2 linked regions of the Arabidopsis thaliana genome follow. The protein of the gene in region 1 interacts with the protein of each later gene in a pairwise test. Each region holds a gene or a part of one and is shown in the gene's direction. Other genes may lie near its edges.

The links.
Region 2: the proteins of AT4G14480 (region 1) and AT2G01070 interact in a protein complementation assay, tested with the Arabidopsis thaliana proteins (one large-scale study listed by BioGRID).

The regions. Positions count from the first base shown.
Region 1 is NC_003075.7:8,320,275-8,336,170, reverse strand, and holds AT4G14480 (Protein kinase superfamily protein), read left to right. Parts: upstream 1-4,306; 5' UTR 4,307-4,626; coding exon 4,627-6,090; 3' UTR 6,091-6,265; downstream 6,266-15,896. Other genes in the region: AT4G14500 (Polyketide cyclase/dehydrase and lipid transport superfamily protein), read right to left, coding at 258-341, 429-605, 1,051-1,213, 1,407-1,780; AT4G14490 (SMAD/FHA domain-containing protein), read left to right, coding at 2,597-3,757; AHL20 (AT-hook motif nuclear-localized protein 20), read right to left, coding at 14,354-15,199.
Region 2 is NC_003071.7:67,152-83,047, forward strand, and holds AT2G01070 (Lung seven transmembrane receptor family protein), read left to right. Parts: upstream 1-8,368; 5' UTR 8,369-8,444; coding exon 8,445-8,629; intron 8,630-8,706; coding exon 8,707-9,628; intron 9,629-9,728; coding exon 9,729-9,824; intron 9,825-9,993; coding exon 9,994-10,130; coding exon of another isoform or gene 10,131-10,149; exon of another isoform or gene 10,150-10,249; intron 10,250-10,323; coding exon 10,324-10,474; 3' UTR 10,475-10,714; downstream 10,715-15,896. Other genes in the region: AT2G01050 (zinc ion binding / nucleic acid binding protein), read right to left, coding at 1,186-2,733; AT2G01060 (myb-like HTH transcriptional regulator family protein), read right to left, coding at 6,305-6,799, 6,922-6,991, 7,089-7,146, 7,232-7,274, 7,358-7,434, 7,634-7,751; AT2G01080 (Late embryogenesis abundant (LEA) hydroxyproline-rich glycoprotein family), read left to right, coding at 10,887-11,495, 11,939-12,025; AT2G01090 (Ubiquinol-cytochrome C reductase hinge protein), read left to right, coding at 13,028-13,029, 13,455-13,539, 13,705-13,806; AT2G01100 (FAM133-like protein), read left to right, coding at 15,094-15,837.

The DNA.
Region 1 (15,896 bases):
ATAAACAGATGTTGGATACTATTTGATCAATTTTTTTCACTGATAAAGTAATGATGCAATGAAACTTAATAGAACTAGAAACTAAGAGACAATGGTCCCATGAATTATCTCCAGACATTCAGAATTGTCAAACCTAAACTTTGGTGTTTTGTCCCCTACAGAATTCTGGCGTAAACATTTAGAATTCTCCAGACATGTGGAATGCTACACACTTGTTCTGTGGAAGGCAAAAACAAGTTCTTGTAGCATGACATTACCTTTGTGACACAATAATACTTCTTCCCAGACTCCCATATTCTCCGGCCAATGATATACTCTCGGTCACTACAGAAAAAAGGAAACTGCAAGCAAAAGAAATTAGTAATGACAACAGTTTTTAATGTGGGAATTGTTTATTAAGATGACCAAAGTATCAAAAGTCCAGAAACCTTTTTTCTCCACTGAACAATCATTGTTCCTGTCTGAGTGTCCTCCTCCAACGTTTTGAAGTTGGCAAGCATGAAATCCCATTTAGGTCGAAACTCATCATCCCAGAAGAAATCCCTAACAATATCTGGAGTTGCATCCTCAAACACAGTCCGGCTGCGATAAATAACAGGACCTGTCTGATAAACAATACGACCTATCAGGCTACAAACACAATTTGATCAAATGTTTCTATCATCTAGTATTTAAGAATTCCCCATTTCATTATAGCAAGAACACAGTTTCAAGTAAAATGTCACAAAAATGCCACACAAAGGGGTAAATGCAACAACGCATCACATCGTGCCCAAAAAGAACCAAAGCTAAACAAAGAAACACAATGTATACTACTAGACACCTAAAAATTGATCGTCTATAGCTATCCTTAGAAACATATCTCCCTCGTCATTACCAATAAACCTAAAAGCAGTGGTCTGATTCAGATGTCATTCAAATTACTCTAAAGAATTCATTTTTTCGACTATTCCGCCTACTACTCAATGACTTAGCTTGTTCCTTGAGCTACATCATTCAGGCGTAGCATAAGGAAACGGATACAAAGCAAGAGTATAAAACTTAGATTACCTCAGGCTCATGACGCCAAGCCTGGTAGCTCATATTTGGAGTAGTCTTATCCATCATAGATTGCCATTCCAAAGCTGCATTTCCAACTTCAAGCAGCTGAAGCAGATGCTCTAAATCATTCTCTGTCACAATATCCTCTGTCACCGTCCCGTTATCGCTACCTCTGCAAATATAACCAATCCATAAATCAACTAATGCAAAAAAAAAAAAAACCATTCTTTTGCCAATGCTATTGCGAAACTAAAAGATAATGCAAACACTATATACCTTATCTAGCTAAATTAAAAGTAAACGTTACGTTTTAAAACAGAGAACTAAAACTTCTACATCTTCCAATAATTAAGCATTACACTAACCTTGAGGCCAATCCTGATTCATCATTATCCTCAACAGGCGTCTGCGACGAAGCTGAACCGGTCGCCGATTTATTAGCTCTGGTGTCATTCCTTGACCAGATGGTTCGGCAAACGGAGAAAGCAGAGAGAGCGGTGAAAGCAAGCCAAAGCCGACGAGCACCAAACCCAGGCGGTGCGGTCCATAAAAACCGAAGCTTAGAACGAAACCCTAAATAGATCAAACCGGTCCATCTTGGACGCCAAGACCATCCGATTAATAACCCGATCATAACGGCGAGCCAAATCGGAACTGCGCATAGTAAGATGTCGACAAATGTCTCTGTAAAAGAGGGATTCTTAAAGAAATTCAATAGATCAAAATAGGTCTCATCCATAGCGGATTCTCTAGATTCGATACTTTACTCCGATTTGGATAAAAAAATTTCCCGAGAAAAAATGTCAGATTCCCGAAGGAAAATGGGATTCGAAGATCGCTAAAAATTTAAGCGACATGAATCAGGAGAATCAAAGACGAAGACGAAGAAGAAGAAGAAGGGATAATAATAATTTTTTTCTTTTTATTTAATTGAGTTTGGTGATTTAATTGATTAAATCATAAAAAGAAAAAAATGTGTTCTGATATTATTTGCTGTGCTTGAAACGACGTTGGCGGGTGAAAGGAAATGATAAGGACAAGCATAGTGGCGATGACGTGGCGCTTTCGTTGACCGACAAGTTATATCCCACGCGTCAGATCTTAGCGCGTCGTGTTCACTACGTAGAGGAATATACTCAAAAATCAATTATTGTGTTAGCATTAGAAGCACGTTTTGTTGATTTGCAACAATTGTAGATAAGAGCCTAATTAATTTATAGGAGTAAGGTTAAATTTGGTTGATTTCGAATATAAAAGGGAATTTTAACAGTGGATATCCAAATGATGAGGTGAGATACACGCGAGGGTAAAGGAGCGTGAGGGGAAAAAGGTTGGAAAAAAAGTGGATAAGGGAGAGATAAGTTTGCTGAGAGATTCACGTGTGTTGCTGGAAGTTTGGGTAATCAATAATGCCAGTTGTTTAGCCAATAGTAGCTTTTAGCCTTGAAATTGTTTTATCGTCGAAACGATAAAAGCCCATTTAAGGCCCATTAATAATTGGAGCGTCAGACAAATCAAAATTTCAAAATTCGCATTTGGGAGAGAAACGGTAACAATGGTTACGCCATCGTTGAGATTAGTATTCGTCAAGGGTCCAAGAGAAGGCGATGCTCTAGATTACAAGCCTGGATCTACGATTCGTGTTGGTCGAATCGTTCGTGGTAATGAAATCGCAATTAAAGACGCTGGAATCTCCACTAAGCATCTTCGGATCGAATCGGATTCTGGGAATTGGGTAATACAAGATCTTGGATCTTCCAACGGTACTTTATTGAATTCGAATGCTCTTGATCCAGAGACGTCGGTAAATCTCGGAGATGGCGATGTTATCAAACTAGGTGAGTATACATCTATTTTGGTGAATTTTGTGATTGATGATTTTCAGGAGAAGAAGCTTACGAGGAACAATAGGCGTCAGGCTAATGCGAGGAAGCGAATTAGGGTTTTAGAAAGTATCAATTTGGGGGATATCACTGAGGAAGAAAAGGGTTTGGATGTGAAATTTGAGAACAAGCCGAGTTCTAGGGTTAGGAAAGTTAGGAAAATCGAGGATTCGGAGAAATTAGGGATTACTGATGGATTACAAGAGGATCTGGTGGAGAAAAATGGAAGCTTTAGGAATGTTGAAAGTATTCAGAGTTCATCTGTAAACTTAATTAAGGTTGAAATGGAGGATTGTGCAATGGTGGAGGAAAATTTAGGGAGGGGATTGAAGAAGAGAGTGAGCAGTAAGGCTACGAGGAGCAAGAAGATTGAAGAAAGTGTAGGAAAAGCTTGTTTGGGAGTGGTTAATGTAGAGAAGGTAGAGACTTTAAAGGAGAAGAGGATTACTAGGGCTACAAGAAGCAAGAAGATTGATATTGTTGGAGATTCTTATTTGGAATTGGACATGGTTCTAAATCGAGCCAGAAAGAACAAAGGGAAGAACAAGAAAGCGGATCAGAAGCCGTTGAAGAGCTTTGAAAATGATGAGGTTACTGATTCAGGAGAGCAGGGTTTAAGCTGTCATGTTGAAGAAGATATGAACAATGAACTTGATACAGATCTAAGAAAGATGACATTAGGAGCATTGTTCAGTTTTCTGGAGGGTCATCTGTCAAAAGAGATAATTCACAAGACAGAAAATATGATTGAGCCCATGCGAAGTAAAACTCAGAGAGTTCGTGAGTATATTTCAGATCAAAGAAAAGTTCAGGCTAAAGCGTGTATGTGTTGAATTGACAAAGTGTCCAACTGATATGGTGCACACTGATTATTGGTATAGCTTCAGTTCATGGAATAAGAAACACATACTGACAGGTACAAGTTTCTTATGAAGTAGACCTTAATGCTGTGGGATTGGCTGTGTTGCTTAGAGTTTTGACTGCATTGATTTACTTGCATTTGCTTTACGTGTGAGACAAAGTAAACAGTGAAGTGCTGATGTTTAAGTAGGTTTCATAAGTCTTTTGCCCACTTTATAGTATATGTTTCAAGGACATCCCTGAAGACTTATAAAACAAGTTCTGTTCCATTGTGATTTTATCTTAGCATATTGATGTTTGAATACTTGATCATTCATTTTACCAAATGTCAAGAAGGCTGACGTCTTTTCTCTAGTCTTTGTTTCCTTCTCATGTGGTCAAAGGCAAATGCAAGTTCTTCAGAAATGCCATGAAAAAAAAGTTGTAAAACGAGTCTAGATATCTAAATCTAGAACTTTAAATTTCTGTGAAATGATGAAAATAAATTTTCATAGCTCCATTTAATTTTTGTACCTTTACCGGTTTGAAGTTGAAATGATAGTGTTTGCCCTTTGGGTCCCTGGAAAGACCAAAGGTAAAATCTCATTAACTAAGGTTAGTTAGTTAGCTCTTTCACATGCTTCATCTTATTGTTTCATCAACATATTTTTAAGTAAGAGATAAGGGTTTTGCTTTTACATTAAAGGCTCTCTTTTTTTTCAAGTTCACATGCTAAACCAACTCTTTCTTTTTTCATCCCTATATGAATAGCCTCATGGTACTATTAGCCTCTAAAAGACCACAATTCCACTAAAAACATAACAATTCAATAAGCAAGAGTGTACTCATCTTCTTTCTATTTATGGCTCGGAACAAGCTCGAGTTCCCTCTTGATGCTGAAGCCTACGAGATCATCTGCAAGATAGGCGTTGGTGTTAGTGCTTCGGTCTACAAGGCCATATGCATTCCGATGAACTCAATGGTAGTTGCTATCAAAGCCATCGATCTTGATCAGTCGCGGGCTGACTTTGACAGTCTTCGCCGTGAAACCAAGACGATGTCTCTGCTTTCTCATCCGAATATTCTCAATGCTTATTGTTCATTCACCGTTGATCGATGTCTCTGGGTGGTTATGCCATTCATGTCTTGTGGCTCTCTTCATTCGATCGTCTCTTCGTCTTTTCCAAGTGGGTTACCAGAAAACTGCATTTCCGTCTTCCTCAAGGAAACTCTGAATGCAATCTCGTATCTTCACGATCAGGGTCATTTGCACCGTGACATCAAGGCAGGTAACATTCTGGTAGATTCTGATGGATCCGTGAAGCTCGCTGATTTCGGAGTATCTGCATCCATCTATGAACCCGTGACATCTTCCTCTGGAACAACATCTTCTTCTTTAAGGTTAACTGATATAGCGGGAACACCGTATTGGATGGCTCCGGAAGTGGTTCATTCCCACACAGGGTATGGTTTCAAAGCAGACATTTGGTCTTTCGGGATAACAGCGTTGGAGTTAGCACATGGAAGACCTCCGTTATCTCACTTACCGCCGTTGAAGAGTCTGCTCATGAAGATCACCAAAAGGTTTCATTTTTCTGATTACGAGATCAATACGAGCGGAAGCAGCAAAAAGGGTAACAAGAAGTTCTCAAAAGCTTTTAGAGAAATGGTTGGTTTGTGTCTAGAGCAAGATCCTACTAAAAGACCATCGGCAGAGAAGTTGTTGAAGCATCCTTTTTTCAAGAACTGTAAAGGACTCGACTTTGTGGTCAAGAACGTGTTGCATAGCTTGTCAAACGCAGAGCAGATGTTTATGGAGAGTCAGATTTTGATCAAGAGTGTTGGAGATGATGATGAAGAAGAAGAAGAAGAAGACGAAGAGATAGTGAAGAATAGAAGAATCAGTGGGTGGAATTTCCGTGAAGACGATCTCCAACTTAGTCCAGTGTTCCCAGCTACTGAATCAGACTCTTCTGAGTCCAGTCCACGTGAAGAAGATCAATCAAAAGACAAAAAGGAAGACGATAACGTCACAATAACGGGGTATGAACTCGGTTTAGGTTTGTCGAACGAGGAAGCTAAGAACCAAGAAGGTGAGGTTGTTGGGTTTGATAAAGATTTGGTGTTAGAGAAACTGAAAGTGTTGAAGAAAAGTTTAGAGCATCAAAGAGCAAGAGTGTCGATTATAATCGAAGCATTGAGTGGGGACAAGGAAGAGAAGAGCAGAGAAGAAGAGCTTCTAGAGATGGTGGAGAAGTTAAAGATTGAATTGGAAACTGAGAAGCTAAAGACCTTGCGTGCTGATAAAGATAGTGTTTTGGGTTAACTATTCTAAACTTGTTAATATTTTTTTTCTATATGCTAAAATTATATAAGTGGCATGACATTACGATCAATTGTTTTCAATTTAACTCGTTTTATTTGTCAGTTTAGAATGGCTCCAAATTAAGTTTTGGTAAACAAGTTATATATTCACCAAAACAACATATAAATATTTCCTCTTCATAAAATTTAATAAAGAACAATAAAGTAAAATCACAACAACAAAATGTAAAATTGATATGAATTACAAATACATATTCCCTATTTACTGATGTACTTCTTAGAATCAAATTTACTTTAATAGTCTACTAATTTGATTGTATTTTGCATCTTCAAACACTTTCATCTCGAAAGAAAAAAACTTAATGTTTTTTTTTTTTTAATGTAATGTTAAATTAGATTCAAAAGAAAAATGTCTTTTGTACAACAAGTGCAACGTGAGTTTGAAAAAGGCTAAATACATTTTAGATCAAAGAAACTAGTATAAATTTCTTGTTGCAAACCAAATTTGAAGTCCCGTCTCATGTCTTCTTTCTCCGCTTGTGTTCAGTGAAGAAAGTCGATCTCTTACTTGCTTGTCTATCCATCGGATTAAACGCACCGGTGGATTTGGTTGTTCGCCATGCCGCCGATTGTTACGTTTCCTCCAGATAGTATGAATCGTTGCTTGGAAGACATAGTGAGCTATGAACCGCTTTGTTCGATCTTGCCAATGACCCGAAGTGGCTGCAATCAAGTCATTCCAGTGAGTAGTATACTTTGCTCCATAGATGTTCCTTGTCAGAGCCTGCCAAATTTCTGAAGCGTAAACACAAGAGAAAAAAAGGTGATTTCTAGTTTCCAGCGTGTGATTACAAAGAGCGCATCCTGTGGAGAGTCCCTGTTCCAGCTAAGCATGCGATCTCCTGTTGCTAAACGATTGTGAGCCGCCAACCAGACGCAGAAAGAGAACTTGGGGGTCCCTCCTGCAAACCAGACGCTCTTGTGCCAAGTGACTACAGGCGAAGGTGTGCGAGTATGGTTCCAAGTATCTCGTGTTGAGAAACGTGGCCGATAAATATCCTTTCTCCCTTTCCAAAGAAAAATGTCCTCTGCCATCACTCTGTTTTGTTTCACCAATAAAGTTCTTGTTCAATGTTATTTAGAATTGCTGCTCGATGCGTACGTGAGCTCCTTCCGTCCCATGCCTCTGCAAGCGTCTTATGCTTACTAATCCCCATATCAATTTGGCCACGTTCGCCCACGACGTCAATCAATCTGCCCATGGTTGACCAATCATCATACCAAAATGAAGACCTTTCGCCATTTCTAATATCAACCTTAGAGAAATCTTTTGCAATGTTTCGGTATTTCAACAACTTTTTCCACATCCAAGAGCCTTGTTGTGCTGATCTAAGGGACCAGAAAGTGTTGTGCTTTAGGAGGTGGGTCTTAATCCACTTCACCCATAGCTAATCACCATGCGAGACCATTCGCCAAATAAGTTTCAGACAACATACATCATTTGCCTCTTTGATTGACCGCAGACCCAATCCTCCCTCTTGTTTTGGTCTACATATTGTATCCCAAGCAATCTTAGCCTTCTTAGTACTTAACTCTGGTCCTGACCAAAGGAAAGCAGAACAAAGCTTGTCGATTTCCCGAATACACTCACGTGGAAGCCTGAAAGCAGAGAGCCAAAAATTACATATACTCCATAAAACCGAACTGATCAAATTTAGACGACCCGCGTAGGACAAGAACCGGGCTGTCCATGTTCCTATTCGTCGTTTTATCTGCTCAAGAAGCGGGTTGTAGTCCTGAGATGTGAGTCTCTTGGTGACTAGAGGTAACCCGAGATACCGCACCGGGAGACATCCTACTTCAAAATGAAATTGTTCCTCAAACTCTTGGCGCACAGTATCAGAAATTCCTGCAAGATAAATTGTTGTTTTCTCCATGCTAATCTTGAGACATGATTGTTTTGCAAAACTGTCAAAGACCTCCACAATACCCTCAAGGGATCGAAGTTTCCCATCTGTGAGCACCATGATATCATCAGCAAAAGAAAGATGTGTTAAACCAAGATTTTTACACTTTGGATGGTATCCAAACTTCCTTAAGCCTGCAGCTCTGTCAAGCTTCTTGGATAGAACATCCATGACAATGACGAAGAGATAAGGAGATAGAGAACAACCCTGACGCAGCCCCCGTGAACTATTAAAGTATCCAGCTAGTTCCCCGTTAACCTGAACCGAGAAAGATGCTGTGGTAACGCAAAGCATGATCCAATGAACAAAAACTTGAGGAAAATCAAGAGTTAAGAGGACATTCTTGAGGAAGGTCCATTGAACTGAATCAAAAGCCTTGGAGATGTCAATTTTGATAGCGCAGCGTTCTGAGACTGAATCTTTATGATAGTCCTTGACTAACTCCGTTGCGAGGAGCAAATTTTCGATTAATAGGCGATGTTCCTTCATATAACTTTGGTCCTTTACAATGATTTTGAAGAATCTGGAAACCCTATATCAGAAATTCGTCGATTCTACATGAAACTCTACCCGGCCCTGAACGTGTTGCATAGCTTGTCAAACGCATTTAGTGATATCAAAATCTGACTCTCCATAAACATCTGCTCAAAATCAGATTTTGATATCACTAAACGTATTCTCAAAATCATTTATGCAGTAAACAAAAATATCACTAAACTTTAAAACCAACCCAAATAAGCAATCTGGGGGTTTGATTATGGGCTAAAATAGATGAATACGTTGGGCACAAAATACTAATTCCAATATATTTCATCTTGTTTCTACAAACCTGACTAACTGACCACCCAATCGGTTCTAGCTAGTCCCAAAACTTTGGATTTTGAACTTTGGTGATATTTATAGAATCATAAACAACAGTGGGATACCGGAGTTATATATGAATGTGAATTTGGTCATAGCCGATAGCCTAGTAGTCTAGTACCATAAATCCATAATACGTAATATAAAGAATAGTGTACAGTTCAACGGAACGGAAGAAACAAAAAAAGTAGAAATGGAATAGTAATTTACACATTGACAATAAAATACCACTTATATAACAAGTTTTTTTCAACTAAGTTTTGTAGGTAAACTGACCATCTCCATTGGGAGTATCTCATAAGAGTTTCTCACAATTAAAAAATTAAAAATAAAAAAAATGAAGGAGAGAGAGTGTACAAAGTTTCTCACTTGAGAAACTCCGAGATACTCTATACAATTCATCATGATAATTCTCATCTCACTATTGGTTCAATTTTTTAACAAAAATACTTTTTTAATCAAATAATCAAATTATAATATAATATTAATATTTTTTTTGTTTGAGAAATTTTGTGAGTTTCTCATTGATGAAGATGCCCTAAAATTACATAATTAAGCTTTTTCAACTAAGTTTAGAAGATAACATACGATGAGACAAAAAGAAAAAGTTTATTATGTGAATAAGATATCATGAACAAAAAAAGAAGAAGATGTGGAACCACATTTTATGTATTTCATTTTAATTTATACTACTAAATGTTGCAGTTTTTATGTAAAAATAAAATAATTTTGAAGAGAGGGTTGCCCGGTATTTACGGGAGGAAAAGCATGTACACGTGGGAGATGTTGTATCGGTCAAAGCTTCAGTTTCCTCTTTTGTCTTTTTCTTGTTTCAGTCTTTTTTTGCGCCTTTCCCATATTTCTTTCCTTGGAAATTTAACAACAATCTTTCCTTTTGTTTATTGTAAGCTTTTTTAAAAAATATATTTTGACTATCTAATCTCTATAAATTTTTCAGTTCTCAGTTTAAAAGTGTCTAAATTCAGCCAGAAAAACTACTGTAATAGTTGTGACATAGCGAATAAATGAAAGTTTTATATCTGATGGAATACTACTAAACAGGGCAATTTAAATATGTATACAGAAAATTGATATAAAAAGGAACAAGATTTTCCTTGGTTTATGATTTTTTTTTTATAAATACTTTTTTAATGAGGCTATTGGTACTCATTTACTTGTAATTTTTTATAAGAAAAATCACAACCAAAAATAATTTATTTACACCAATGAATGATTGTATTTTTATTTTAGTTTTTGAATAGTGGGACTCAAATTAATAATCTGATTGTATGTTTTTTCAATATTTAATATACGTTCATCCGGTTGATTTGCTAATGATAAACGTAAATGACACTTACTTTTCTAAGTTTCTAGAAACTGATTTTTTATGTGTTTTTGTTTCAAGCAAGTAGGTGGGGTTAGAAGATTATTATCCAATTAAAGGCCTTTAATTAAAGACAAAACTTAAGTTTTCCTTATGTTTAATTAATAAAAGTTAAAGAAAATATACAGAATAGGATGTGACTAGGATTAACTATAGACCTTTATGGCTTTATTTGGATTTTTCCATATATACCAATATTCTTTTAAAGTTACTTTATGTTTGAAACAAGTAAATATATTACTAATGCAATCACGAAGTGGGCAATGATGTAATACTTGATGGAAATCTTTTGTTTAGTTCAATCACACGAATCAGCTTATTAAGTATACATTTTAAGATTCCAACCAATTGTAAGTTAACTGATATTTTCGGTAACAAATGATTCTTTTGTTGGTAGGAAGTCTCATCAAAAATAAAGAAGAAGAGGATTTTTGGATGAGTCCGTCTTTAACATTAAGAAGCTAAATTAAAGAATCCTTTTTTAATTTGGAGGAATTATTAGGTGTTAACATTTTTTATTTATTGCATATTTAATCAATTTTTAGTTTAAAAATATGATCAAAACATATATAGTAATACTAATACTTAATATTAGTATCGTTGTATCACTATTTAAACTCAACATAATGTACAATAATAATAAAAAAAACATATATAAAGCTATACGAAAATGATTAATATCTATCAATTGTGTGGCAAGTAGATGATAGGGAACAAACATTTACTAGTAATTTCAAAATGATTTATGACTAAATGATTATTTGTATTGTGAAGAAAAAAATATTATAAAAAAGTTCATCCGCAGAAAAGAAAATTGTATTAATGACAGGTATATTAGAAATTATAATATTTAAATATATTGTGACGTACAGATTTTAAAACAACAATTATAAGAAAACAGGATGTTGTAGATTTGTAGGTGTAATTTTACTACAAATGGTTAGTATTAATTTCGTTTGTTTATTTGGTGGTCCAAATTTCGTTAATTAGGTTTAGTGGAAGCCTATGCTACATTACAGTTAGTGACTGAGAACGAGATTGCGGCTTTTCAAGCTCCCAAAGTGCATTGGATTTGTCAGAATAATTAGTGATTTCATAAAGATAAATTTATCAATACTTAAGAAAAAATGAAGGTTTTATTTTGACGGTGGATCTACTAGTTAGCAACTTAATCAGCACTACTCAATCTTCATTAACTCCAAACGAATTCATCATGCATCAGCAATTCAGCACTATTTAGTCATATACAACACCTATATATTATTACACAATAAGATAATAATTGAAACCAATTTTTATTTTTTTTGTTAGACTCAAAATCAAAAAATTTAATTATTATTTTCACTTAAGGAAAACTTCATATTAAGTAATTTGTTGCATAAATTACTTATGAAATTGTAAAAGGCTAAAAGCTCTTCTGAAATCCAAAGATTGGTCGGTAATAGAAAGAAAATAACGGAACTTATTCTATCGCACAATGAAATGATTAAAAAGGTCTCATTTATCTTGAGGCTGGGTTCAGAAAATGCTTGTGGCTGTTGCATATATATGTAGAGAAGCAACAATGAGTTTGTATTGGTATGAATAAAGCATAAGTTAACAATATCAAAACCTTGTATAAACACATTTATTTGTGTTTGTTTTAGTCGTAAAACATTATAGATTTTAGTTTGAAAGTAGCTAGGCTTGGAAAGTTAGAAATATGATGCCACCATATTACCATAATCTAGTTTGTGTGACGCATAATAATTATAGTTAATGGAGTAAATTGGTCCGATTAAGTAACTAAGGTTGTCTTTAAGCTTTGCAATGATGTGACCACATAGATGTTATTAATTACACGATATTATAATTATATTATACTAATAGAATAATTATATACGTCCCATTGGCTTTGACAATTGACACGTGAATTCATGTGAAGATGGTCCTTCATGTTGCGCCATTTCTAGGATCCCCCACTCGATTTGACGTGATACATATTGGTATCTACAAAGGAACTATACATTTTCATTAGTTTAATAATCAAAATTGTTAGATTGTCACTATTTGGCTGAAAATCCAGTTTAACAAATTGTCTAGTGGCATAAGGCGGCAGTATTAGTTTTTGGTAAGGTAAAAGACAACGAAAAATATAACAATACATTGCGAAGAATAGATCACAATTAGCTAATATATATGTGAAAGTTTTGATGTAGTGATGGTGATGTGTTTCGAATATTCTCTATTATACAATATTTGACTACGAGACTTAGTTTAGAAATAGAAAAAGATTTGAAGACGAGGAATAAAAAATAATTTAAAAATTAGTATAGTCCTTCAGAAATGTTTTTGGGTATTTTTCTGGTCAAATAGAGTATGAATAAGGTTTCTGAACGAGAAAAACAAAAATCATAATAGATGAAATTGCAGTTTCTTCTATCTGGGTCGGATCACATGTCGGATTCGAGGTTTTCAGAATTATTGGGTAATTATGTTGACCAGGGGATGTTCAAACGTACCATCCATACTCTAAACTTAAGTTACAAGAATGTATATATATTTTTTCCGTAACTGTTTGAATTAAACATCACATGAGTTATTTGTTTTTATAATCTTTTTTTTTTGTCTTTTAGTCGAACATATTCATTTTGTCTCTTGTACAATAAGCAAGACATGGTAAAAAAAAATTTTTGATTTATATTTCGTTTACTCAACATATAAATCTAGATTCAAGACTGAAAAAGAAAAAAAGAAAAAAAGAAAGAGAAAAGAACATAACAAAAAAAATGAAATTTTTTTACCTGAATGTAGACCAATTTGTTTGCAAACTATGTAGATAGATAACTTATCTAAGATAAGTACTTCCAATTTGGCGTGTTTTTTGGTGAGAGTTTAAGTAAATTTCTAACCTTGAAATAGTTGGTTCCTCCATGTTGTCCTATTAACAAAATCATCCCAAATTTAAAATAATATCCTTTTTTCCTTAGGAACCATATATGCAACCAATAATCCAAAACAAATGAGGTAAAAAAAAAGGTATTGAATTATGATTTATTTCTTGATTTTTCCTTGTGAATTGTCATTTAGAAACTATCTTCTATGATTTTGCCTAATTTTTGTAAACCAAATATTTAATGATATTTTTAAAATATATTTTTCTGAATATGCATGCTCTTAACTCATAAATCTTATATATCAAATTAGAGGGAATATATCAAGTTCTATTTGGAAAAAAAAAACACTAAAAATTACAAAAGTGCATTAACATCAATAAATGATCGTTTGGTAATAGTATTTTTTAGTTAAGACTTACAACGACTTAAAACTTCATAGTATAGGTTTGTAAACTTCCTTAAGTCGTTCTCGCCAACAACATCAACCGTTTTTTTTGTTCAGTCATAATTTTGTTTTAAAGCTTCTTTCGTGTCATGTACCATTAAATAACATCAATTAATACACATAGAGAGTACGTATATGCTTTTAGCTAGTCAACAATCTCTCATTCTTTTGTTTACATAGTCATATTAAAAAATTCCAATAGCATCATGACGCGAAGATTAAAGAACCACCACTATGGACCTATGGTAAAAACCTTAAATAAAAATGATCATGAATTAGAAATATAATATCGAAACGCACAAATAGGCAATATATGCTCTCAACGTTCCTTCATCGTTGAACCAGCATTAAATATATATAATAAACCCATGGTTTTTGAGCCAACCAAAATGTAAAGTATCTAAAGATCACAAAGGCAAACACATACAAATATTGTAGTTAAATACTACTACACAAAAACAAAAAGACAAACATTCTAATTTACAGTACAATGTTTATTTATTTCAATAATTTCGTGGAGTAGTAATACTGAAAATCTGAAAGTCCCTTAATGTCGTCTCTTTCTACCTTCCCAAGCTCTATATTTCCATTAAGAACAAACAAAGCTTTGATACTTATTTATTTTTCCAACCAGAGCAAAAGCTTTGTAATAGACTACCTCAAATTGCTTGCTTATATTCATCTATATATTTATTTATATAGACCATTATATATAGAAATGGCTCACTGAGTCAGTAAGGTGGTCTTGCGTGGACCCATGTATATGGTTCGTGCCCTAGCTGACCAGCCCCATTTGGAATCAGATGCGGCGGCATATTGTAGCCTGGCCCGGCCATCCCTGATAGATCAGGCAGGTTACTACCGATTCTGGGCGGTGAGTCACCGCCTCCGTGAATCTGTCTTGAGCCGCCACCGTCTTCCTCTTCTTCCATGGGCAATCTCTCATAAGTAGCGTTAGAGAAAGTAGCAGCAATCACCATGACCGACCCTATGGCTAAGAGTGGGCCTACAACGCTACCTCCAACGACCTGACCCTGGACCCCGGCTAAGTAAACCGTTAAACCGGTTGACCCGGGTGGGGAAGGTCCAGGGAGGAAAGCACCGGTTAAAGATAAGATTTCAAACCTGCCTTGGAGAGAGACCACACCTCCTGGTGCGGCGGCTTGGCGGAGGGTGACGTTAGCGACTGAGCCTGTCCCGCTGAGAACGCAAACGCCGCGTTGCCTGCGTCTTGAGAAGTGAGCGATTGTGTCGGCGACGTCACTGCCGTCGGAGATCTCCAAGACATGGCTACGGAGTGCGTTGGGGCTGTCTCTTGTCACAAAGATTGGAGCTTTGGGTTTGTTTTTGGATCCTGGTGGTCTACCTCTTGGTCTACGGTTGACCACCTCAACGGCTCCTTCTCTAGGATCATCTTCTTCGTCTTGGTCGTTGTCTTGGCTCTGATTCATGGCTATTCCAAGATCTCCTTTGGTAAGAAGACTTTGGTGGTGATGGTTTTGGTGATGGCCTGAGGAGACCGAATGGTCCACCATGCCCGCTAAACCACTCTGGTTCGTCCACCAAGGGTTTGCCATGATTGACCAAAAACTGGAAATTCGCTAAAAAGAAAGATCAAGAAATTGTTACCCTGATGATTTGCTTGAAAGGCCTCTAGGGTTCCAACTTTACAAGGTCAAAAGGTGTATATGTAGCTCTTTCTTGAAAAATATTATCTTTTCGTTTCGATTTCTCTAATTTCATATGAATTTTAGGAGTTGTTGATGACAAATAAAGAAGAAAAGGCTACGGTAGGAGAATTAGATGCAATTGTGGAATGGAACTAGAATCAAAACAAAGCTATTGAGACTTTGATTTTCTTTTCAAGAATCAATCAGAGAGAGAGAGAGAGAGAAAGTGGGCAATAATTAATTTTTCACAAGTTAGTATTATTTATATAGGGTTTATATAGAATCCAAGAACGCAATACTATGTGTGTACTCTCTTTTTATTAATATATAAAATATACTGGACAATTTTTATATGAGTCTATTTTAAATAACAGTGGGATTGAATACCGATTATGCCAAAGTCCTAAGCTCCATAACGTATTTAATGAATTCATCTTATAATTTTCTGCCAGAACTTTAATTATACACTCATATTACTGAGGTTGCCTAGACAAGTCTTGGGTTTCACATGGTGTAATATTTTAGGAAAGATCGGTTTATGGGGAAAACTATTTTAGAAAACATATTCTTGTTTACTCTGATACAATTTGTAAAACCCCAAGAC
Region 2 (15,896 bases), on another chromosome or scaffold:
GAACCGTAATCGCTCTGATACCAAATTGAAACAACCCGACCCATTTTTAAAAAAAAATATATAATTAAATATTCCCATAAATATCTAATTAAACCAACCAATAACATAATAATTAAACCGCAAGTCAGAAATACTATTTTATGAATAAATAAATAATTCGATCAAGAAAACCAAGAATAACCGGGTTCCAATAACCAAAAAGACCAAACATAAAACAAACGAGTTCCTAGATCATCCTCTCTTCCTTGCCATGATTCCACAATCACACTTTATCTTTACCTGCATCAACAACACAATGAGATGCGTAAGTATTATCATAAATACTTAGTGAGGCGATCCTCCCATCTACGAGCTATACACACAAGCAAATAAAAAGGTATAATCACGAATACAATACAAACAAACCAGTCATTGAACAATTCACCCAAAACACATTCACCACACCTACATATCATCACACAACCCAATCGCTCAGATAAGCTCATGGTCACGCACTCACCTTAATAAATTGATTCTAATAGCAATTAAACCCAGGAGAGTCTCTCCTTGCGTCTGAAACAGTCCAGAAACGTCCGTTAACTATTCAATCGCTCCGGTGAAATCCTAGCTGCAGACGTCACAAAGCTGCCCACAAAATCTCGTCTCGATCGAAAAACAGACGAGACCACGATCTCAGTTTCAATCTCCGCTGGTCCTAATTCGCGTCTGAGAAAACGTGTCTCACGAAACTTTTACCACGGTTTGATATGACGAAACTGATTTCTCCCAAACCCTAACGATTCTGCTCATTCTCCTTTTCTCTCTTTTTCTCCTTTACAAAACGAAAAGTGGCTAACTAAAGCCCTAATTTCGAGTTTCCTTCTTTTATAGGCATACTCTAGGGTTTCCAATTAACCCAACCAATTAAACCGGATGATTTAAAAACAAACCCTAACTGATTTTCCGGTTCACGGCCGTTACACATCCACTCTATAAGAATTATCAAACCCCAGGCCTCGACAGATCCTCTCTGCTCTGTTCCCTCCAGCATGAGTTTCGAACAATGCAAGCAGGTCTGTTTTATAATTCTTCAACATAAATCGAATTGCTCTTCGAAAATTGGGTTTATTCGCCCCCCCTGCAGTTCCAGAATAGACAATCCATTAAAAATTGTAGAGTTAAATACCAAACTACCGGGGAAAAACGTCATGCCATTCCCTCACTGGAATTCCCCACTTCCGATCCTTCATGACTCACAACAGCTATTTCAGACATCAAATCCTCCCGCTGGAACCGCTGAGACAAAGTCGACGATGAATCCAAGTCGAAACTAGCCTCATGGGCATGCGAACCCATCGCACTTGAATACACACCACCTGGTCTCCCAACATCTCTTTGTTCCACACGCAGTCGCTTCCCGTTGGATAACAAATCCTCCCCAACTGGTACTGAGTTTGCATCTTTAGTAGGCCCAAATATTAATCCCCTAGCAGGCTTATTTGCGGCCCCATGTTTCTGTTTTGGCCCAATGGGCTCCAAAGCCTTCATCCCTCCATTACGCTTCCATTTAAAACCACCTTTACTCCCGCCTTTCCCTTTCTCCATCTGCGTAGAACCCCGAGCTTCCTTAACTAGTGGGACACCCATAACCTTCCCCACATTCCTCCCATGATATTCATTTTCCTTATTTGGCCCTTCTGTAATGGCAACTTCCCTTAAATCAGGCAAATCACCATTACCATCCAATCCACCAAATCGATTTGCGAGATCCACCCCCTGATTTTTAGGGAGTTCCCTTAACCTCTGTTTTGACCTACCACCAGACGCACCCACCGCAAACACCATCTTCTGCACCGGTGCCGCCGGCCGTCTAGCGGTGCGTTGAACCACTGTGAACCCGTCATCTCCCTCCATCCCAACAGGCACCACAGCTCTATCCGTAACCGTCTCTGCCCCAGCCGAAACTTTCACCACCACATTTCTTGGACAAGAATGAACCAAATGACCGTAAATACCACACGAAGAACAGATTTTAGACAGTCCTTCATATGCTACGAAGTATCTATCCCCATTGATTAGCACAGTCCCTTTTAAAGGTTTTGCTAAGTTAACCTCAATACACACTCGAGCAAAACGACCCTTGTCAAAGTTAATCGTATTCATATCAACCTTGAGTGGTCTACCCAACCCACGAGCAATCTCCATGAGTAAACACCGATGATAGTAGTTATACGGGATATTCGATAATCTAACCCACACCGGGGTAGTCACAATATCATCCCTCAACGGATCAAACCTTGACGACCAGTCTTGGACCAACAGATAGTTCCCAAGAACTCTCCATGGACCTCCGGTTAAAGCAGCCATATACTCCTCTTCCAGTTCAAACCTAATCATGAAAAACTGGCGGGGCAAATCCATCACTGTCATCACTCCCGACGGTTTCCAAAGCTCCCTTAGCTTGCGATTCAACACCGAGATCGGAATCTGGCTCCCAAGCACCTTCACTATCATACACTTCTTCCAAAGCCCATTCATGGCTTCCAACACCTCCTCACCAATGGTAATAACTGGCTCCTCGTCCTCACCATCTGGAAACTCCAGCCCCACCCGCTCCCTCACAAACTCATCATCAATCACGTCTTCTGGTTTCAAGATACCTCCCCCAGCACTACCCTTCACTTTCGTAGCCCACGACTCCAACTTATCCGGAGGATCCCCTGGTGGACGCCCCTTTTCTCCGACGTCAAGCATCATAGCATCTTGCTCACCAGATCTCACCGCCGTCGCAGAATAATTATATTAAAATATACTGTATATAAATGTTAGGATCCCCATGATACTTTTATCTAAAGAAATGTTAGAATACTTACGGATTTAAGATATATATAAATCCAAATTAAATTTTCAATTTTAATATTTTCTTCAACAATTTTAAATAATTATATTAAAATATACTGTATTTTCATATTAATTACGAATTTATATATATATATATATATATATATATATTAATTAGATTTAATTTTTTAAATTTAATTAATATTTCAAAGATAAAATCAAAATAATTATATCACTTTCTTAAAAAAATGAACAGTTCAAAAATGTCCACTCTGTAGAAACTCGTGCATGATTGGTTGGGCTTTAAATCTGACTTACAGCCTTAATTTTTCTTAAAGCCCTATTTTCTTGCTAACTTACAAACCAATGGTGTTGTAGCTTTCTTTTTAAACTTACAGCCCAAATTTTTTTTATTTTGTTTTTAAGGCTGTACTAGAGTAAATTCTCAAAGCCCTATTTTCTTGGCTATAGAAATTTTAATTCATTAGATAAATACAAAAAAAATTTATCAAAATATATATATAACAAAAACAAAGATAAATTCTAAAAAAAAACTGATAATTATCAAACCTAAAAAAAAAAAATTATATTGCAATAAATTTATGGAATAATCATAGATAAAATTTAGATTTATTTTATTAAAAATTCATAGGAGTTTTTTTATTTTTATATAATCATAATAAATATATCTAAGTTAGTAATATAAGACATTTTATTTACTATAAAAAAAAAATTTTATTACAACTATTATATTTACTTATCATTTTTTTATAAATATTTAAAAATAAAAACCTACAGCAGTAATTCTACAGCAATAAAAGTTACAGCTACAGCCAACACAGCTACAGCAAAATCTCTACAGCGAAAATTCTACAGTTACAGCCCAACCAATCACCCACCAAATATAAGTCGACTGTTTTGATATAGTCGGTAGAGAAAAAATTAAGTCGATGAAAATAAAATATAAGTCTACTAAGATTAAACAAAAAGCTGATAATTCAAAAAGTCTATCTTATTAATAAATCAACGTAAAATAAAATAAGTCTACTAAGATTAAACAAGTCGGAAAAACAAATTATAAAATTAATAATTAAAATAATAAGTCAACAGTTGAAAAAGTCATCTATGTAAGAAAAACAATTAACCAAAATGTAAATCGACTGTTATAAAATAAGTCGATGAAAAATAAATTTAGTCGACAAAAATAAAAGAGAATATTACATCAAGGGGCACTTTTTAAAAACATTTGACGTGTTCCAACACTTAAAAAACATTAGACACTTTTCCTTGTTAAAATGACTATTATACCCCAAAATTATTAGTAAGGCATATAACTGACGATTTTCTTATTTTTAAAGTCCAATTTCTCTTTAATCTTTTAGAAAATCTCAATATTCAAAATCAAAATTGAATCTCTTAGGGTTTCTCATCATCTACCATATTTCTCAACCATCTATCGCTTCTCTTCTTCTTCTCTGGAGATCTTTAAATACATTCATGAATCTGATTCTAAATCTCTGAAAGTCTCCAACTTTATTACAAAATTTGGACAACAGATACATGAAACATATGACGGTTTCTGTGCACTTCTCCTCCTCGTTTGACGACGTCGTTTATGGCCAAAGCCAACAACTTTAATTTCATTGTGTCCCCTTCAATCCATTACAGTCTATGATCCAATACAAATTACGAACCATTTGCTTGTTATCAACAACATTGTATCATATTCTCAATAAAATGTTTGTTGATGGATCTTGTATTAAAATATATAAAACGAACTGTTTAGATAAGTCTATGTGGCCAGTTTATATTGGATACACAATTAGAGACATTTCAGTTTGTAGAGACCTCCACCTTCAAGATCTTATGAACATGGAATTTTGGTTTTTTTACAAACCACAGTTAATCGAATCTTCTGTTATTATGGACATGGTATATAGAATGGATATGGATCAGTAAAAAGGTTTCTGAATGAATATATCTTAATGGACTTGTTATTATGGATACAAAACTATTGTTTGTTGATTTTTCTTTCAGTTTGCAGAGACCTCCACCTCCAAGACCTTATGGACAAGAAAATTTGGTAGCTTTACAAACCACAGTTAATCGCATCTCTTTTATTATGTACATTGTATAATGAATAAATATGTATCAGTAAAAAGGTTTCTTAATGGATATACTTAAATGGACTCGTTTTTATGGATATATTTAAATAGACTCGTTATCTTCTTTTTGTCTTCATGGGATTTAATCGGACGACTATTGTTTAATTTTAGCCCTAGATCTCGGCTGAATGATATTTCCGACGGTACGAAGGCTATGAAAACCAGATCTTCAGGTAACATTTCGATCATCATCTTCCCGAAGAAACCGAGTTCGTCGGAGATGTCGTCTCCGAGTTTGCAGAGATGGTTACCAGCGGCGAGAGGTGTTTCCGGTAATTTAAGAAAGGAGAAGATGAGTATAGTTAAGGAAGAAGCAGTGATGAGAAGAAATAGGAAAAACATTGGATTCTTCAAAAAATGAGGTTTCTTCATCGTTTCTATTGCGTTGATTTCATGGATAGATGTCTGCTTAAGGAGAAAGAAGAAGGAAGAAGATCTGAGAGAGAGGAAGACCTTTTTCATCAGATATAAGATTAAAAAAAAAGCAAATTTCATTTCTTTTTAAAGAAAATATTACGTGATTAGACAGTTATTTGGAAATGATATAATTGTCCTTTTTACCTCCAAAAACAAAGAAAAGTGCCTCATCCCTGAAAAGTGCCTCAAAAAGAATAAGATTTTGTAAAAGTGTCTAAACGTGTCACATTCCCAAAATAAAATATAAGTTGTCAATTCAAAAAGTTCCTTATTACACTGATATACTAAGTATTTTCTTATAGTAGAAAGAGTGTTTTATATGAAAGCAACATTGTTTCTTAGAAAATATTAAATTTTTATTTTGTTGATCCAAAATAGTTTATTTATATTTGAGAAATTTAATATATGAGAACTGTAAAATACAACGTTTGGAGAGAACGTAACACTAGAAAATACCATAAAGAACACAACCCGTGCACTCACCTCATTACCGTCATCGACAAGACCATTCGAGATCGCATCACCAGTCTTTATTATCAAGGCACCAGCAAATATGCAAACCTTCAGAACGGTGCAGGCTTCACTAACGTGATAATTTGTAATGTTCTGTTTTGAGATCATCTCCAGGCCTAGCTAACTTTATGCTAGGTTATTCAGCTGTGTATGTTTAAATGCGGCATGCGTTACTGTTTTGATAAAGTAGCTTTAGAAGAATGTAGTGTGTTGGGAATAAGAGTAATTTTGTTTTGTGTTTACCAAATTACAGCACAACACAGACATATTCATTCTTCATGCTCGTGATAGTGCCTAGAGAATTAACGACTTGTGATCACATTATTAGAGGAAACTCCTAACTAATAAGGATTAGGATAAACAACACTACATGTGGTACACTCAACAACTCAAAGATTATCTCCTGAAACCTTATCCAACTGTTCTTCGGCCCCAAGCAGTGATGTAGATGGCTGGTCAAAGGCGAGGACATGGTCTGACTGATGGTAAGAAGTGTTCAAGCCTGATTCTAGTATTGGGTGACCCACTACAATATCAGGTGTATAACCAGCTGCACCTCTCACCAATCGAGGCTTCTTTGATAATCTCTCCTCTCCTGTGCTCTCATCTGGAGACCCAATGTTACACCCTGAGTCTGGTGTTAAAGGCTCCCGGTAAGATGAGAGAGACTCGTCAACTGAGAGACTTTTGTCTGGTCCACAGTCCTTGCCAGACTTGTCTTGAAGAGGAGACTCAGATGTTGGGGCAGGGGTTGCAGGATCTGAATCGCCCGTTACTGGGGCTGAGGGTTCGCCGAGTACTCCACTGAGTCGTTGTTGCTCTTCAATTATCTTCTTCAAGTACTTTCCTTGTGCTTCTATCCGTAGTTGCAGCTGTCTTTGCACCTAAGAAAAAATCACATCAAAGAATAATGTCATATGTAATGCAAAATTCAGTGCTACACTGAAAATCCTACTAATTGTTTCGTTGTTGCTTGTCTTTCTTAAGTAGGAATGGTGAAGCATACTTCTAGTTGCTCGTGTAATCGTTTCTGAACTTCCATCTGCAACTTGAGGGCTTCAGTTATCTGCATTCCCCTGTAATCTCGAAACGATATTGATCACTTAATCTGCGGCGCGAGGTAATATATATATAGCATCACAAATCAAGCTCAAAGAGGGAAATTTCACGTACGACGAGCCGTCCAACCCAGAGAGCATATCTCCAGATTCTTTCTTATCAGTTTTTTTCCCTGAAAATTGAAAAAACCAGTTTTCAGGTATATAGGAAACTGGTAGAATGAGAAAGAAGATGAAGAAAATCAATGTCCACACTACCTTCAGAAGACGAATCTGGAAGATACTTTGCAAGTCGATATTTCTGACTCAAAATACACAAATGCAAAAATCAGCAAGGGTAAGAGAAAGAGAGACGAGACAAGATGCCACACAGTTTGAGAATACCTGTAAGTGACTCTTGACATGATATATAGTTAAGCCTTGTACACCCATCACTCTAAGAACGCCTTTGGGTGTAGCTCCTTTGGAAATCAAAGGAAGAAAAATGTTTAGGAACCCTAAGCAAACAGACGATAGGCTTTCCCTCTCATGGATAGTAGTAAAGCATACAAGAAGAGCAATTTGATTATATTGGTGTGCATATTATTACCACAGATATTGATGAGGAAAACATGAGTTACTAAATTTACCATAGACTATACAAGAAAAAAGGAAACTTACTATCAGGGCCACCAAGTTGAGCAACGGCATCAACGAAGCGTTCATGTAGCTCATGCGTCCAACGCAGACGTTGTTTGGATGCATGACTAGAATTGGGGCCTCCGTTGTCTGCTTCCATCAGGGCTAAGATATAAACACGATAAAGGGAAAGTAATGAGTAGTGGCAAAGCTAGGAAATGATAACATATGAGGACTGGCCAGAGAGAAAGAGATAGAAATGGAAACAAGGAAGACGAAATAGCGCCCAGAATTAGCTAGTAAAAACAGTCCAAGTCAAGTTTAAGACTTGCTCCGGCAGATCCACCACAGGACACCAAAATCAGAGACATGTTCACTAAAATCGGAGGAATTTGTCGCCGAGAAAGCAAAAAGAAAACACAATCCAAGGTTATGGAATCTACGAACCTGTGGGTGGTGGATCTATACACGACGCCCCTCCATTTTCGGAACTTGCTCTTCTCCAAGCTAAATCTTATCTGAAATAGAAGATATTGTGTTACAGACTAGTTTACTGAGTCCGGTGGGTTACAGGGCGGGCGGCGATGGAGCAGAGTCCTCCTCAAAAAAATTCCAGTCTTCTTCTTATCGCTCGATCGACGAATTCCAGGCAGTGGCATTGACTATTGCTGCATTTCTTTCTGGGTAAGCCGGGCCTCTCGGTATAGGCCCAAACCATTCTAAGGCCCAAACCATTATATTAAGTTGGTTGGTCCACCAAAGTCAGCAGCAGCTAGAACAAGAGCGACTCTGCAGCTGCTCTTCTCCCGCTTCCTTCCTGTTAGTTAGCCTCAGAGATCCTCGTTCCCCGATAATGGATTTGGGAAAACTGATCCAGCTGTCTGCGCTGCTGTGCCCATTTCTTCTATCATTACACTTTAGAATCGCTGGGGCCTCCGCCCACATCTACTCTTCCCAGCCCTTCCACGATGTCGGTAATTCTCTCCTCCTCTACGGTGGCAGCGAGGGCATCTTCGCCTCTTCCCGATCTTTAATCAGGTATATTCTATGGATTACATTTTCAACTCTTTTGATGCTCTCTACTCTACTCTACTCATCCTCCCTCCTCACTGCAGGTTTGAGAACATCACTCTCTGGAGGACAATTACCGGTAAGGGCCACCGCAGCAATGGGTTAGTTCAAGCAGTGATCTTTGAAGCCTCCGATCGTAACAATATCGGTGGTTCAGCTTACGGAGGCCAAAGATCTATTTGCTGCACTCCAGATCTGGCCAAGCTTCAAGGCTGTAAGCAGGGTGAGATCATTAGGATTCCTTCTCCACATGACCCTCAATGGCCTATCCTCTTACCTGTCCGCTTTAAAGGAAAACGCTCGTCTGCTAAGATGGCAGACACTGAGATTCTTATCACCAAGACTGGAATCTATAATCTCTTATTCATATCTTGTGATCCACAACTTAAGGGCCTCAAAATGACCGGAAAGACTGTTTGGAAAAATCCCGACGGCTATCTTCCTGGTAGGATGGCTCCACTCGTGAATTTCTATGTCTATATGTCTCTCGCTTATTTGTTGCTCAGTGCCGTCTGGTTCTTCCAGTATTTGAGGTTCCGGATGGATATATTGCCACTTCAACATTGCATTACTGCCGTCATTCTTCTAGGATTGCTTGAGATGCTCTTTTGGTACTTGGATTATGCTAATTTTAATCACACGGGGATGAGGCCTTTAGCCCTTACTACATGGGTTGTTACCATTGGTGCCTTGAGAAAGACTGTTTCCCGCATTCTCATTCTCTGTGTTTCCATGGGATTTGGGGTTGTCAAATCTACTCTTGGTGGTCTCACTTCTAAAGTCCTCCTTGTTGGAGTTACTTACTTCATAGCTTCTGAGATCCTTGATATTGCTGAGCACGTTGGCATCATTGACGATATGTCCGGAAGATCAAAACTTTTTCTTGTCCTTCCTGACGCCTTCCTCGATGCATTTCTCATATTGTGGATATTTACCTCTCTTTCGAAAACACTGGAACAGTTACAGGTATCTCTTTCTTTCTAAATATAGCCATCAGACTCTGTAAGTTGTAAGGGTTTTGAGGCAAGATTCATCAGACCAGCTATAAAATTCTTTATTACTGCAGATGAAAAGGACCTCGGTGAAGCTGGAAATTTACCGCAAGTTCTCAAATGCACTCGCTGTGATGGTTGTTGCCTCTGTTGCGTGGATAGTGTATGAGGTACCATCCTGTCAAGCCTGATTTGATGCTGATTTAGTAAACTCAAATCTTACCTCTAGGAAACAAACTGCTCAACTAAAACTGGCTTTGTTTCAAGCTAGGAAAAAAGAAGCTCCTTCTTTCTTGGAATATACCCAGCTTGCTTGCCTGATGATTTGTCCCCGTGCAGGTGTATTTCAAAGCAACAGATCCATTCAATGAACGATGGCAGACTGCTTGGACTATAACTGCCTTCTGGGATGTTATCGCATTCTTGTTGCTATGTATTATTTGCTATCTCTGGACCCCCTCGCAGAACTCCCAAAGGTATGTTACATCAACTTAAAAGGTTTTGATACCTCTCGGGCATACCAACAAATAAGCATGGTTTTGTGGAAACGGTTTCAGCTGAGCATGTTGTGGGAAGTCTTGGCTACATGCTAGTGGTTCTTATGTAGTGGTCCAATTTTGGTGTTCCTGGGTGTGATAGGGATGCTAATATGAAACTAATGATGGACAGATATGCATATTCGGGAGACGTGGATGAAGAAAACGAGGAAGCTCAATCTCTGACAGGGGGGAAGCAAGATGGTGATATTAGCTTAGTTAAGCAAGAGAAGAATGCGGAGTCGGACAGGGAAGAAGATGTTGAAGAAGATAAAAGAGAGTGAGGAGAGTCAGTATAGAAACGACGTGGCATCTGTGTTTGATCAAGAGTTGACGAAAATATAAATATCAGCAAGAGGTCAGCTATATAGCACAAAGCAACGACGTAATACATATATATGATGTAACTAAAGGATAGTAACTGTGTGTTTGTATTTGTTTGTTTTTTTAATATCAGATCCAACATTTTTTGAGTCATCTCTAACCCTTGTCTGAGTGTGAGATTTGCCTAAAATTGCTGTAAATTACATTATTGATATTTTTATTGGTGGTTAAAATTGTGAAACATTAATTTGTCAATAATACTAGAGTCCAGACACGGAAACAGGGTCTCTCTCTCTTGTTGTGTATAATTTCAACACCGCTATTACAGAAGAAGAGTGAAAAGGGAGAGGGAGCTTCCTGCTTTCACTTACTATGCCTCCTCCTCCTTCTAGTTCTAGAGCAGGTCTCAACGGCGATCCGATTGCTGCTCAGAACCAGCAGCCGTATTACCGGAGCTACTCATCGTCGTCGTCGGCGTCGCTGAAGGGATGCTGCTGCTGCTTGTTCTTGCTGTTCGCGTTCCTGGCGCTGCTGGTACTGGCGGTGGTGCTCATCGTAATACTGGCGGTGAAGCCGAAGAAGCCGCAGTTCGATCTGCAGCAAGTGGCAGTGGTGTACATGGGGATCTCCAACCCAAGCGCTGTTCTGGATCCAACCACCGCCTCCCTCTCCCTCACCATCCGGATGCTCTTCACCGCCGTCAACCCAAACAAGGTCGGAATCAGGTACGGTGAGTCCAGCTTCACGGTCATGTACAAAGGCATGCCACTGGGGAGGGCGACGGTGCCTGGATTCTACCAGGATGCGCACAGTACGAAGAACGTTGAGGCCACCATCTCCGTCGACAGAGTCAATCTTATGCAAGCCCACGCCGCCGATCTCGTCAGAGATGCTTCCTTGAACGACCGAGTGGAGCTCACAGTCCGCGGAGACGTGGGGGCTAAGATCCGAGTCATGAATTTCGATTCACCGGGTGTTCAGGTTCTTCTCCCTTCTTTTCTCCCCGCATTTTGCTCGCTCAGCGATCTGGCCTAACCAGCGCAGTGTGAACACTTTTGACAAAGAAATTACCACACTTTTTGAGTAAAAAATGCGGGTAAAAAAAAAAAAAAGTGGTTGCTAAGTTAAATAGATTCCTTACACCACTAGTCATGCTCTTGTCTGTCCCCACTCTGCTTTCCTTTTGGCCTTTGCTTCTCCTTCACTTTTGATATTTTTTCTAGGATCATTCATCCACGTCTATGCCACCACCTAAAAAGCTATTATATGTTATATATTGAGGTGTAAATTACGAACAACGACACCATCTCCTTCCTTTCACTGGTTTATAGTGTATTGATTTAAACTAATAATTTTATCAAAAAAAAAATATATATATATATAAAAAGATTCACTCTGCTTGCTAATATATTGATGCATTGCAGGTATCCGTGAATTGCGGGATAGGCATTAGTCCCAGAAAGCAAGCTCTCATTTACAAGCAATGTGGCTTTGATGGCCTCAGCGTCTAATTCCAAAACTGTAACATAATAATATTATTATATATATATTTGTACTGACTACTCCCAACTGCAGAGGAGTTGCAAAAAAAGATCCAGCCAAACTGGTAAAGAAATGTAACAAGATCCATCCTTCCCCTGCCTTTTTTGGGAAATTTTTGTTTCTACTAGCAACAATGTTTGTTTACCATAGATACTAATCAGTAGTTTACTCACGCTGCAATCGCTTGGCCTATCTAAAGTGCATACATTTCTGTTAATCAATTAGAGATATGCACTCATTTTCCCACATGGACAGTTACGTCAACACTCAAGTTGAAATGAACTGCTCCTGAATTGACATATGGTTTTATTACTGATTTTCTTGACGAGAGCACCGGCAGATTCAAAAGTAGTCTCAGAATACTTAGTCTTGGTTAATATGTAACTGAAATGACCCGAGACTATTCTTTTTGGATTACATATATGAAGATAAGTGATCAGTTCCTACATCGACTATCCTTTTTTCAATCCTCCTATCAGTTTGTAGCTTTCTTTTTCCTCCAGAGCTTCCGTCAGTTTACCTTGTATTGCACACTGGGAAACCTATTCACAAGTCACAACCAACCAACCTCTGCCCATGAATCAAGAGAATATTGTGTGTATGTATCATATACAATCTAACTCGGCCTCTCCTCTCAACTCAAATGTTACCATCTTTCTTCTGACTTTTATTTTCTACACCATGGGCTTGAGGATGTTGGACATTAACGGGCTACTTAAAAATGTTACTTGGTACAGGCCCATATTGTTCACAACGGAAACGGCAACTAGACGTAGAAGAAGAGGAAGAAGAAGACGATGAAATTGGAGGAAATCGAATCGAATCGAAACATTTAGGGTTCCTCCTTCCTTGAGGTAATAATGTCAATTCTTTCTATGTATCTACTTTGGTACATAAAACATTGTCGCTCACATAAATTTTGATCCGTTGTTCTCTCAGAGTTCAGGTCAAGCTTTCTTTCCAATTTCGCCATGTAAGTTCCTTCGTCTTGTCTAGATTCTGCGTTATACCACCGTTAGGGATTTTTCTCACCAATGTCCTTTCTTTATTCTTTTGCTCTCTTCATTTATTAGATCTCTAGCAATTTCTCTCTAAATTGAGTTATCCCCTTAAGCTATCAGATAGTATTGGTATTCCCGTCTTGACACATAGTAGTAAGCACATCCTCTACAGTTTAGTTTGTTGGGTATTTACTTAATGGCACTCTCCGTTTTCTTGCTTTACATAAAAATCTTGAAGAGCTTTGTGTGTAACATGGGAAGCTTAGCTTCATCCCTTAAACAGCCTCCTACTTTGACAACAAAAATTGCTATGTCATAGTTATGAACGTTTTATTCGTTCCTTAGTTTGCTTATCTAACCTTTGATTTTCCATCCTACTCGATGGTTATAATTACAGGCCAGAAGAAGATGTTGTTGATCAGAAAAGATACTTTGAGGAATCTTGCAAACCAAAATGTGTGAAGCCACTACTTGAATATCAGGTGAATACGACTTGAGCTGTCACTGGTCATAACCTTGTTTTGCATTATACGAGTCATTTGACATAGAGAGAGAGTTGATTGCTTTCGGTGCTGCTTATCTATCTCACATCACATGGCTTCTTAGTGCTGCTCAGTTTTAACATCTTGTTGTTGTGGGTGGTTCAGGCGTGTGTCAAGAGGATCCAAGATGATGAGTCTGGCCACAAACATTGCACTGGGCAATATTTTGATTACTGGCATTGTGTTGACAAATGTGTAAGTGTGTGAGTGCTGTTTTTCTGTATACACCTAAAGTTTCGCGAAACTAAAATGACAAAGACAGCTACTTGGAGTCTATTTTTCTTTCCAGGGTTATATAAAATGATGTGGATGCTTAACATTACTACTGCAAACCATAACTAACACGGGCTCCGTCCGTGTGGGTTTTGTTTCTCTGGCAAACTGCGATTGCTTTGTTTTCGTACTGAGTTTGTGATGCGTCCATTAATGTTTAATGATAAGTGGAGTAATAAAAAGGAAGAATCCGATTCTATCTTAGCTTAGGTCCATTTTATTCAACTGTTTGGTATGAAATCATTGAATTAATTCAAAGCACGTTGGTGTTAAACGTCTCCAGTTTCAAAGTGCAAACATATTAACAAGGCACGATGACAAAACGGCACGCTGTGCTTTGGTTTTGTGCATAAACGGCACGCTAACCAAATGTGTACTGTATATAAATACATAAATACTAATAATTACAAGTCTTCAGAACAGAAAGGCAAATTTCTCAAAGGAAGCGAAGCCCTAGCGTCCTCTCTCTGTCTTCTCGTTTCTGCGCCGGTAAGCTCTCTCTCAGATTTTAGATCTCATCAAGATCTAACCCTTATATCTCTCACGGATCATCATCGATCTTTCAGATCTGTTTTCCAATTTTCCCTGCTGATAGCGTCTTGGTTTCTCTAAATCCGTTGATTTGTTTTCGTCTCTAGTTTTTTTTTTTTTTTTTTCGTTTTTACATGCCTGAGTCTAGCGTAGACTTTCTCTGACTTGACCCTCTTTTGCAGATTCGTAGTCTGTTGTGCGCTTGCCTCTCCTCTTTTGGATTAGCATACCTCTCACTCGCATCAGGTAAGAAGTTTGGTTCAGATTTAGTGAATCTCATTGCTTTAGTTTCAAAGCTTATTAGCTCTCTGTGTTTTTGCGTTGGTTATTACGTTGGAATACTTAACCCTTATAGCAACTACTGGAATTTTGCTGAAACATAGTTAGTCTCTATGCTTTGTTTGGATTGAATTGATTATGATGGAATGCAACATAGTTATCGCTGTGCCTTGTTTGGATGGAATGTTTTACCCTAATAGCAACAACTGTGATTTAGCTGAAAGTGTTTTTTTTATTCCTTCTGTATTAGCATTGTGTAGTGTTCTGTATTACCATCATGTAGATACTCTCTGTGCTTTGGCTGGACTGATTGATGGAAGAGCTAACATTGTTTTTTCTTCTCTTTTGTGAGATGCACTTTTGGTTATCCTCATACCAAAATGCAGATTTTCAGTTGCTTTTTCTATCCAAATGGACTGCAAGAAGTTCATCCAGATGGTCGAGGAGAAGAAACGAAGAGTTCTTGAGAAGCAAGAAGCTCCTTTGAAATGGGAGCAGAAGCTAGAGGCGGCTGCGAATGCCAAAGCAGACACAGAAACTAAAGTGAAGAGATCAAAGGGCCCTAAGAGAAAACAAAGGGCTGCGTCTGAATCTAGCTCAGAAAGTGATAGTAGCTCTGAGGTGAGAAGAAAGTCTAGAAGATCTCACAATAAGCACCGAAGACATGCACACTCTGATTCAGATGACAGTGATAGGAGGAAAGAGAAGAAATCCAGGAGGCAGAAAAGAAGGTCCTTGAGTCCAAGCGATGATAGCACTGGTGATTATGAAAGTGGGTCAGAGGATGAGCTGAGGATGAAGATAAAGCACCATCGGAGGCACAAGTGGCATAGCTCAAGAAAGACTTGCGATGATGACAGTACCGAAGATGTGAGAAGAAAACATTTAAAGCATCACAGGCGCAGTGAGGTGGTCACTTCAAGTGATAGTGAGGAAGAGAGTGGAAGAAGAAGGCGAGGCAAATATCACAGGCACAACAGAGGTTCAGCCTCCTCGAGTGGCTCGGAAGAAGATAGTGGGAAAAGTATGAAGAGAAGGCAACATAAAAGGCATCGTTTGGCTGAGTCTTCAAGTGAGGAAGATGGGGCAATGAGAAGGACTAGGCATCATAAACATGGCAGAGATTCAGCATCTGAGTCTGATGGAAGAAGGTAATCAGATGAGAAAAGAGAGCACTACTTCGACAAATGAAAATGGAAAATGTCTTTGTTTAA